Macaca fascicularis: one gene and its partners. The protein of the gene in region 1 interacts with the protein of each later gene in a pairwise test. Links are inferred from orthologs where the notes say so. Each region holds a gene or a part of one and is shown on either strand. Other genes may lie near its edges.

The links. The genes of interacting proteins can lie anywhere in the genome.
Region 2: the proteins of RIN1 (region 1) and RRAS2 interact in binary tests that used the Homo sapiens proteins (3 or more experiments, as listed by UniProt). The link is inferred for Macaca fascicularis from reciprocal best matches to the Homo sapiens genes RIN1 and RRAS2.
Region 3: the proteins of RIN1 (region 1) and LZTS2 interact in binary tests that used the Homo sapiens proteins (3 or more experiments, as listed by UniProt). The two-hybrid records come from large-scale screens. The link is inferred for Macaca fascicularis from reciprocal best matches to the Homo sapiens genes RIN1 and LZTS2.

What each region holds. Positions count from the first base shown.
Region 1 is NC_088388.1:8,069,432-8,071,534, forward strand, and holds the end of RIN1 (ras and Rab interactor 1), read left to right. Parts: intron 1-5; coding exon 6-137; intron 138-253; coding exon 254-405; intron 406-906; coding exon 907-1,383; 3' UTR 1,384-1,594; downstream 1,595-2,103. UniProt on the Homo sapiens protein: Ras effector protein, which may serve as an inhibitory modulator of neuronal plasticity in aversive memory formation. Can affect Ras signaling at different levels. First, by competing with RAF1 protein for binding to activated Ras.
Region 2 is NC_088388.1:51,408,276-51,412,247, forward strand, and holds the start of RRAS2 (ras-related protein R-Ras2), read left to right. Parts: upstream 1-1,159; 5' UTR 1,160-1,470; coding exon 1,471-1,578; intron 1,579-1,846; exon of another isoform or gene 1,847-2,281; intron 2,282-3,972. UniProt on the Homo sapiens protein: GTP-binding protein with GTPase activity, involved in the regulation of MAPK signaling pathway and thereby controlling multiple cellular processes. Regulates craniofacial development.
Region 3 is NC_088383.1:109,955,017-109,959,272, forward strand, and holds the start of LZTS2 (leucine zipper putative tumor suppressor 2), read left to right. Parts: upstream 1-1,443; 5' UTR 1,444-1,639; intron 1,640-2,035; exon of another isoform or gene 2,036-2,066; 5' UTR 2,067-2,329; intron 2,330-2,973; exon of another isoform or gene 2,974-3,376; intron 3,377-4,235; exon of another isoform or gene 4,236-4,256. UniProt on the Homo sapiens protein: Negative regulator of katanin-mediated microtubule severing and release from the centrosome. Required for central spindle formation and the completion of cytokinesis.

The DNA of each region.
Region 1 (2,103 bases):
CACAGGGGAGGACGCGGGTGCTGACGAGTTCCTGCCTCTGCTGAGCCTCGTCTTGGCCCACTGTGACCTTCCTGAGCTGCTGCTGGAGGCCGAGTACATGTCAGAGCTGCTGGAGCCCAGCCTGCTCACCGGAGAGGGTGAGGGACCCCCACCCACTTCCCTGCCTGGGTGGGCCCTGAATAAGCAGGGAAGGGGAGAGGGGATGGGTGCCCCACACCCAGCCTGAGCCGTGTTATTCCACCCTGTGTCCCAGGTGGCTACTACCTGACCAGCCTGTCTGCCAGCCTGGCCTTGCTGAGTGGCCTGGGTCAGGCCCATACCCTCCCACTGAGTCCTTCGCAGGAGCTACGGCGCTCCCTCAGCCTCTGGGAGCAGCGCCGCCTGCCTGCCACCCACTGCTTCCAGGTAACAGGCCCTCCACCGTGTCCTCAGAGCCAGACACCATCCCCGCCTTTCACCTTCCTGTCCTTGGTGAAGAGTCCAGACTCTGTAGCCAGATCCCGGGTTCTAATCCCAGCTCTGCCACTGGGTTGTGGGGACTTGGGCAAGTTACTTAACTACTTTGTGCCTCAGTTTTCTCATCAGTACAATGGGGTAATAGGACCTACCTCGTGGGGTTGAGGTAAAGATTAAATGAGTTAATGCAGGAGAGTACTTGGGGCACAAAGTGTGCACTATCAAAGCTTCGTCTCAGGCTTGTGAGCTCCCCACTGGGCTGTCCTGCACCTTCAACTGTGGCCCACAAGCCGACCCCTGGAGCTCACAGAGCTTTTGCCACTTGGTTCTCCCACTGGATTTCCACCTCCCCACCCTGTCCCTGCACAGCCCACACTGGTCCCTCAGCTTTGGAGCCAGATGCATGCCAGTCAGGGCTGAGTACTTGTTTTTGCTTCTCCTCCTGCATAGCACCTCCTCCGAGTAGCCTATCAGGATCCCAGCAGTGGCTGCACCTCCAAGACCCTGGCCGTGCCCCCAGAGGCCTCGATCGCCACCCTGAACCAGCTCTGTGCCACCAAGTTCCGAGTGACACAGCCCAACACTTTTGGCCTCTTCCTGTACAAGGACCAGGGCTACCACCGCCTGCCCCCTGGAGCCCTGGCCCGCAGGCTGCCCACCACTGGCTACCTTGTCTACCGCCGGGCAGAGTGGCCTGAGACCCAGGAGGCTGCAACAGAGGAGGAGGGCAGAGGGCAGTCAGAGGCAAGGAGCAGAGGGGAGGAGCAAGGGTGCCAGGGAGATGAGGACGCTGGGGTCAAAGCCAGCCCCAGGGACACTCGGGAAGAGTCTGACACAACTGCTGAAGGGGGCCAGGGTCGAGCCCGTGAAGGCCCTGCTCAGCCAGGGGAGCCAGAGGCAGAGGGAAGCCGGGCAGCAGAGGAGTAGCTTGAAGTGGCCAGAAGGGTCGTTTGGGGCGGGAGACCTTGCGCCTGCTGAGAAGTCCTTTTAGCGCCAGCAGCCCCACCCAGGGCCCTGTCCAGTGTCTGCCACCACCTTTGTCTGATACTTGTCTCCAGGGAAGCTGAGGGAACTGCCACATCTGAGGAACTGGAATAAAGATGAGGGGGCTCGGGGGACCCCCAGACTGTGTGCCCAAGGCCCCTTGCCTCTTGTTCTTCTCACCCAGCTGAGGGTGAGCCAGCCTGCAATGGGGAGTGTGCCAAGTGGGGGCGAATCTGATGGATGCCCAACCTCTGACATGGGGAGGGTAACAGTCTCGGCTCCTTTTACCCTTCCCCCCATGGGCGTGACTGAGTCAGGGCTCCACCCCAGTAGCCCCCACCAGGCTGAGACTTCCAGACCCTAAAAGGTTCCAATGGCTCCTAGGTGTCAGGAGGATTTAGAAAGGCCACGGAACAGCAACAAAGGCTCAGAGCCCACCCCTGTCCTGGACACCCGAAGGACCTGCACCTGCAAGCATCAGTACTCTCATCTGTAAAGTGGGGACACTATTGCTGCCCTGCTCGGTTCCCAGAAGTGTTTCAGTGATCAAAATGGGTGATTTTGCACAAGCAGAGCTCATGGCAGAAAGGGAAGGAGAGAGCTGGGCTGCTAACTCTCTCCTGGAATCTACTCTCTGCCAGACAGGGCTCCCATCTGCTGACA
Region 2 (3,972 bases), about 43 Mb from region 1:
TGGGGTCTCTCACGCAGTTGCAGTCAGATGCTAACAGGGGATGCCATCATTGGAAGGCTTGATTAGGCTGAGTGTCCAAGATGTCTCACTTAGATGGCTGGCAAGTGATGCTGGTGATCTGGTGGGAGCTCAGTGGGACTTTTTTCTGTTTTTTTTTAAATGACATGTTGCTCCTGGCCATCAATGAGACTTCTGATTGGCATGCCTACATGTAGCCTCTTTAGCATGGCAGTCTTATGGTAGTCAAACTTCTTACTTTGTTTCTCCCAGAGTGAGAATACCAAGAGAACAGCTGCATGGCCTCTTCTGATCTAGCCTGGTAAATTAGGCAGCATCTCTTCTGCTGCATTCTACTGGTTCCAAATGAGTTACCAAGTCCAAGAACTCGCAGTCATGTTCCAAGATTGCTGTAAATGCTTCCTGTGTACCAGCACTGTTTTATGTAATCATTTAATTCTTATTAAAAACCCCATGAGGGCGGGCACAGTGACTCACACCTATAATCCCAGCACTTTGGGAGGCCGAGGCGGGAGGCTCGCTTGAGGCCAGGAGTTCAACCCCTCACACTCACACTCCTCATTACTGCACATTTGTCACACATAAACATAGCCGCTATGACACTGTACTGACACATACAAAATCTGTCACATTCCGTCTTGCCCATGCAAGCTCAATCACTGTGACTTATTCTCCATGCTCAGCCACTGTCCAATTTTTCATACTGTCACAACCACCAGCCCATCACACACTCAATTACTGTGACACAGCTCTAATCCTCAATCACTGTCACATACTGTTTTTCACACAAATATGGTCACCATCTGTACTCTTAAAGCAGGGTATTTACTCTCCTATGAAATTGAGTTAATATGCCAACAGCCCATTTTTCACACACGCTGTCACATATTGTATTTTTCATCCATACAATCCCTGACATACACAATTAGGGTCACACACTGTTACAGCCTTCGTGCCACTCCCAACTGACACCTACTCCCACACTCTCACGCACTCGCTCACTAGCTAGGGATTGGATCGATGTGTCCGTGGAGGTCTGAAGCCCGGGTCACCTCCCGAACCTCAGCCCCAAGCGGCGCGGCCCCGCCCCTCCCCGCCCCCTCATGCATATGCAGCACCTCAGCCTGGCAGCCCGGCCCCCAGACGGCCATTTGTGGCGGCGCTGGAGGCTGCGTTCGGCAGGCGCTGCGGAGACGCGTAGAGGAGCGCGCCCCCCGGCCGCTGCCGACCCTGGCCGGTGCCGTCACCCCGCTTCTCCGCGCCTCGGGCGGTACCAAGCCAGCCCCCAGCGCCGCGCTACCGCGCTGACCGGCCCTCCCGACACCTCCCGGTACCCGGGACCCCAGCGCGGCCGCTCGCCCGCAGCCAGCCGGCCGCACACGTCCCCAGCCGGGCCTAGGGCGGGCGGCGGCGGCGGCTCGGCGCGGTCAGGCTGGGCTCTGCGGCGTCCCCATGGCCGCGGCCGGCTGGCGGGACGGCTCCGGCCAGGAGAAGTACCGGCTCGTGGTGGTCGGCGGGGGTGGCGTGGGCAAGTCGGCGCTCACCATCCAGTTCATCCAGGTACCTGGAGCGGGCCTGCCCGGGGCGCCGGGGCGGCGGCGGGCGGGAGCTGGCGCTACCTGTGGCGGGGCGGCCGCCGCGACCTCGCCCCGGAGGCGCCTCGCGGGCCCGGGCAGGGGCCGGGGCCGGGGCCGGGGGCGGGAGGGCGCGGGGCCGACTACGCTCCTGCCCTGCGGCCGCAGCGTCGCGCTCTTGCCTCCTCCCGGGCGCGGCGTCGCGGGAGTAGGGCTTCTCAGGAATGTGGTCGGGAGGGCGGAGCTGGCAGGGTGGGAAGCACCGATCCACCTTACCGCTCTGGCCGAGGCCGGAGACCTCCGGGAGAGGCTGGGCCACCGAGCCGGGCTTCCTGCTCCGAGGGTCCGGGCGTGGGGCTGGAAGTGGAGCCCCGCGCGCTGCTTTTCCAGCCGCCTGCGGCCGCGCCTGCACCGTCGGGGCGATCGCAGTGGCAACTTGGCGGCGGCTCCGCGTGGTCTCCGGGCTTCCCAGCGCCGCCTGAGCCGGAGCTACCCGCTTCAAGCACTGTGTATTTCTTTGTGTTGTTATGCTTTTCTTATAAGTACTCTCTTAGGTAATGTGTCCGGGTGGGAGTGTGTGATAATGCCCCGGGGAAATGGTGGCTTCGAGGAAGTTAAAAATGTTCTCTGATGGGGTGAGACCTTTTCCTAGGAATTCCTGATGCCGCCCTGCTTCTCGCCGTGCCTAGGTGAAGTTTGGGATGGGCCGGGCTGGAATATGACCGAGTCGTGCGTTCTGTTTTCTAACCACCCTCTCCCCCACCCCCAGCCCTCCCTGGTTGCTAGAGGCGGAAAGTCAGGGGTTTGTGGTAAAGAAAAGGGAGGTGGAATTCTTCCTTCTTAGAATTTGCTCTTGGGGAGAGGTTTGAGTAGTCTCTTTTGCGATTTTTAAAACACAAAGCCCCGATGTCTTTCTGCTTTTGTCAACCTAGAAGGTGTGGCATATGCTGGGAGAGAACGAAGGTACCCTGCTATAACAGGTAACAAGGATATTCTTCACAGTATCTAGAGTATGAACGGTGAAATATTTTTTTCTGGTTTCCTTTTCACCCATTTGTCAGATACCCGAATAGCTTATTTCACTTAGTGTTTATAGTGACATTAAAATATTGTACGGTAACAAATGTGATTGTCACTTTTCACATTGAGTAAATGAGCAATAATTGCTGCTATAATATTCCCTGGGATTACTACTGCTAAAACCTTTGTATCCAGGAAGAAAGGATGTTTTATGTAATGAGCATTTACAGTATGCTTATTAGTGGGTTAAAAAAAAATCACTGAGTAAGGGGTGAGATTGGTTTAAGTTTAGCAGGCTACAGATTCAGGGGTGTTGTCAGGTTGCTATTTCTCTAGGGCGCAGAGAGATTGTACCTATCTAATGGCAAAGCAAAACAATTTATAGCTAACCCTTTCTTTGGGGACTAGTGTGATGGCCGGGAGTGGGGTGGGGTGGGGGGCGGTGGGGAGGGTGAGTGGAGGAGAAGTCTAGGAGTGGGAGAATAATCTTGGGTTCCAGTATTAGTAGTGTTACTTAAAAGATTTGAATCACAAATATTTAAGTTTTTTTGAGGAAGGGGCCACCTGAATTATTTGAGCCCATGTTAATTAATTAAGGTATTGGGCCCTTTTGTTTTTGGGGAAGTAATGGTATTAAACCATTAAGAAAGCAGTAATTGGACCTGGCGTCGTGGCTCTCTGTGATCCCATCACTTTGGGAGGCATCAAACCAGCCTGGCCAATATAGTGAAACCCCGTCTCTACCAAAAATACAAAAATTTGCCGGGCATGGTGGCGCGCGCCTGTAGTCCCCGCTACTCGGGAGACCAAGGCAGTAGAATCGCTTGAACCCGGGAGGCGGAGATTGTAGTGAGCCGAGATTGTGCCTGGGCAACATAGCGAGACTCTGCCTCAAAAACAAAACAAACAAATTAATTGCTGTTTTCCTAATAATTTATAGAATCATTTGTTGAAGCAATACCTCCACTATGAATAGTATAGTACCTAGATGCTCTAGATGATATTAAAGAAGGAAGCAGGTATGTATGAGGAAGACATTTGTACATCAAAAGTATGAACTTTGAGTCTTACAGACTTGAGCATGTGTGTCTTTTAAAGCTGTCACTTATCGACTGTGAGAACATGGCCAAAATAGCCTCTCTGAGCCTCAGTTTTCTCACCAGTAAAATGGGTGTGATTACACATTCTTTATAACTTTTAAATTACGACAAAGTTTGTAGCATTGTATCTAGCATGTTGTGTGTGCTCAGTAATGGTAGGTGTTATCAGTGTTTATGCCTACAGTTCTCTAACATGTTTAAATGCAAAGGGAATTCAGACTCACAAAAGTCTGGAACAAATTGATGAAAGCACTATGTAG
Region 3 (4,256 bases), on another chromosome or scaffold:
GTCTGTTTGTCTTGCCCCACCCTTCTAGTAGACATCCCCACACAGCACAAACCAGAAGGATGAGGTGGAGGGGAAGCTAATACTCTCCCCAGCCCCACCCCCTGCACAAACACATTCTACTCCATACCTGCCTTAAACACCCACATCATGATCGGGCCCAGCCTGTTCAGATCCCTGGATTCTAGAAAGCAGTGGGGGGTCCCTAGGGCCTGTGCAGATTCCCTGGGATAGGACTGGTCTGCCTACACCCAACTGGATGTTAAGAATCTCCCTGACTCACAGGTTCAGTGGATTGGGAAGAAAAAAAAAAATTCAAAAACATTTCCCCGAGAACTCAGGAAAGGCCTGGCTAAGCCAGGTCCAGTTGGATCTACAGCCTTGTCCTCTAACTGATAGTGTATGTCACACTTGGCTATGAGGGGGCAGCTTTGGTCCTCCAGCAGCTTCCTCTCTGCTGTGGATGGGTTTAATAATAAACAGCTCGGCCGGGTGTGGTGGCTCACACCTGTAATCCCAGCACTTTTGGAGGCCGAGGTGGGTGGATCACAAGGTCAGGAGTTCGAGACCAGCCTGGCCAATATGGTGAAACCCCGTCTCTACTAAAAATACAAAAATTAGCCGGGCGTGGTGGCACATGCCTCTAGTCCCAGCTGCTCTGGAGGCTGAGGCAGGAGAATTACTTGAACCTTGGAAGCTGAAGTTGCAATGAGCCAAGATCGCGCCCGCTGCATTCCAGCCAGGGCGACACAGCGGGACTCCGTCTCAAAAAACAACAACTCACCGAGGTCTCCAGCAGCCCATACGGCCCAGATACCTAAAGACCTTCCCACATGCTGCCTTGAGTGCCATGGCGGGAGGGAGCCCCTGGGGCCTCCCTGCAATACAGGCCAACTTCCTGTTTGTGCCTGTGGGTAGGATTTTATGAGTCTAAGAGAAGCCCAGTCATGCCCCGTGGGGGGTCAGAACCGGCAGGCCTGCTCACCTGGGCAGACACCTACTCTAGGGAGGGGGCTGTGCTGGTTCTGCTTGGGCAGCCCCACGCTGAGGTGTGTGCATGGTGGGGGCAGGTGGGAGCTGCTCTGGTGAAACTCGAGCCTCCTTTGTCTGATTCCCAGGGGTTTTCCCTATATTTGGGGATTGGGTCAAGAGTGGACCGGGTTGGGCTCCCAACGGAGCAGGGAGGGTGGCAGAGTCAAGTTCTATAGGGCAGCTTAGTTTAAGGCAGCCAGGTAGTCGAATTATCGGTCACGAGATGCTCGCCCCCTTCCCCACGTCAAAAACCAAATCCAGTAAACTGTGAAGGCGAAGGCCAGAGGGGCAGCCTCGGCCACCGTCGAGTCCCTGTGGGGCAGGGAACTGGGTAGGCTGTTGGTGGAGTGCGGGACAGACCACTCCCCTCCCTGGGTGGGGGGCGCGGCCTGAGCCGCCCCGCCCCGCCCCACCAGGTCAGGCCAGGCGGGCGCCCGGAGCCGGGAGCCGGGAGCCCGGAGCCGGGAGCCGGGAGCCCGGAACCCGGAGCCCGGAGTTCGGAGCCCAGAGTTCGGAGCGGGCTAGGGAGGCGGCGTTGTCGCGGCGAGGAGGTGGGCGCGCTGGAGCAGGAGCGGGGCCAGAGCTGGAGCCGAGGCGCAGGTGGCGCTGGGTGAGTGGTGGGGCCGCGGAGGTGCAGGAACTCCTGCTTCCCGCACATCCCCGCTCCTGAACGAACTTTCCGCTTCTGGGGAAGCTAGGGGTGGAGTGAGGAGGGGGGTCCGCACTTGGTGGGTCGCCCGCGAAGAGTCCAAACAGGGAAGCGACACGAAAACGCACGCCGACGGGCCCCAAACACGCGTGCACAGACCCACGCCCGCACTTGGGACACGCGAACACACATGCAGTCGGAAAGGACGCGCCCAGTTTTGTACCCTTGCACTCCCAGGGACAGCGCCAATCAGCCCGCGCGGACCCACAGCGGGCAGGGCACTCTGCGGTCGCGCATTGGGTGCGGGAAAGGGGCAGCCCCGTGACCGCCGACGGGGGCGGGCCGGGTGGGACGCACCCAGAGGTTCCTGCTTCCTGGCCGCCCACAGGTGAAGACGAAGACGTAAACAGGCGCCGGGCACGTGACAGCTCCGCACACCAGTGGCCTGTGCCCCCAACCCCACCACGAGGCCCGTTTGCTTGGTTCCAGGCCGGACGGCGTTCCATTCTCCTCCTGGAGCCGGGATAAGCCCTCTCCCAGGAACCGGAGCACAGCGCCCCCTGGAGCCGGGGCGGAGCAGGAGGGCCGGGCTGCTGGGCAGGGCTGGGGTTAACCTGGGCTCCTGTACGTCCTTCCCCCAGCACATTCTTGGTATCTGCATCCCCGAAGGTTTCGGAGACAGGCCCTTGATGGCAGTGGACAGCTGCCCCCGCCTATTCCCGCCAGCCCAGAGAGCAGCTGCCTGAGCGCCTGCGGGTCCCCTTCCTACCCTCACCTCCACTCCTTGCCGGAGTAGGAGTCTCCTCCCCCGCAGAAAATGCATGAGTGTAAACGCCCCCTCAATACCAGAGTGGGCCTAGACCCCTAGAAAAAGGAGGACGAGCCCCTGCCCCCAGGGAATGAGGGAGTGGGCAGTAGCTCGATGCCTTCTTCCCGCCCCACCCCCTACCCCTACACACACGCTGAGCCCAGCTGCCGCCTGAGCTGGGCAGGCTGCCAGAAAGGGGAGGAGGTTCTCGGTGCCCCAGGAGGCAGGGATCAGGGCAAGGCCAGAGGAGGGGGCTCTGTTGGGGAGAGGGTCTCAGTCTGTTCTTGTGAGGCTGAGGGTCTGGGGTGAGTCTGAGGGTGGCTGGGCTGTGTTTCCCTTTCCAGGGAAAAAGAAAAACAACCCTGTCCATGGAGCTAAAAATAGAGCTGAGAGCCGGCCAGGGCTGTGGCCTGGAAGGGGGGGATGCTCCTTCCTGGGGCCCGGGCGAGCTCTGGCAGGCCTTGGCCCTGCGGGGGAGGGGGTGGTTAGGGGAGAAAGGCTGTCTTTGCCCAGGGATGCAGGCATCAGCTGACCTGACCGGGTCACCGAGACCCCTAGGGGAAAGGCTGTGCGGTAGAATATTTGCGAAGCATGGCTGTAAGAAGTTGTCTGTGTGAGTGACTGTGAATAGAGGCTGTCAATGCGTGAAAGATGGTTAGGAGACTAAGTGCATTTGAGACAGTGACTGGGTGCGAAGGACTGCGGATTGTTGTGGAAGCCTGTGCCCAACAGGCCTGTGACACCGTGTCTGTGTGTGAGTTGGACTGGAAGATTATGGAAAGAAGGAACGCGGACCCACGTGACAGCTGAGACTGCTTGTGGCTGCGTGGTGAGGCTGCATGTGGGAAAGGTCGCGTGGGTGTTAGGGAGACTGTATTGTGTGCGAGAAGGTGAGAATATTTGCGACCTTGAGAAAGTGGAATGTTGTCTGCCGTGCGGCTCCTGTAGGTTTGGGCTGTAGGCTTGGACCGGTTTGCCCCAGTGATTGTTGGGGAGCCAGGGGCCGCTTCTCTCCGAGAAATGACCTCTGTCTTAGCAAGCGGTCCCGAGGGGAGGCTGGGGAGCACGGGGCCGCGCCAGAGGCCGGCCTGGGTTCGCGGGGAAAAGGGCACCGTGCCGGGGAGTGGGGCAGGGCCCGCGTGGTGGGGGGCGGCTGGGTGTGTTCTTCGAGCGGGCCGCCAGGTGGCGCCGCCTCTGCGAAGCCCAGGTTGCCGCCTCCAACCCGCCCCTGGTGGGGCAGGTGCGGACCCAGCCTCGGCCTCCGACTCGCGCTAGGGCGCGGGGCCCCGGCACCGGAGAGTGGGGGACGGCCGGTCGTCGACCTCTCTCGCTTGGGACTCTGAGGCTGAGAGCGTGTCAAGGAAGCTTCGCTTGGAGAAGCGGAGGGGGAGGGGCGGCCGCCGCCGTGCCGTGGCCCTTTGTGCTGGAACAATGACCAGCTGCCGCTGGCCCCGGGGCCCCGGCTGGGGCGGAGGGTGACCACCGCCGCCGCCGCGTCGAGCCGAACCGAGCCGCCGGACACGCAGTCACAAGGCGTCGGAGGCAGGGCTCCCGACTGCCGCCGAACAGCCCCTACGTGCGCCCCGGCCGATTCGCGTGACGCGGGTGCCTGCGCGTGTCCCTGCGCGTGTCCCTGCGCGTGTCCGCGTCCCGGGGCGGAGACGCCCCTCGGACCCTCCCCCGCGCGGCGCCGCCCACTCGCACTGGGCGGGGGCTGGCCAGGGCCGGGGGAGCCGCGGAGGCGGGGCCGGGCCGGGCGGCTCCGAGTGG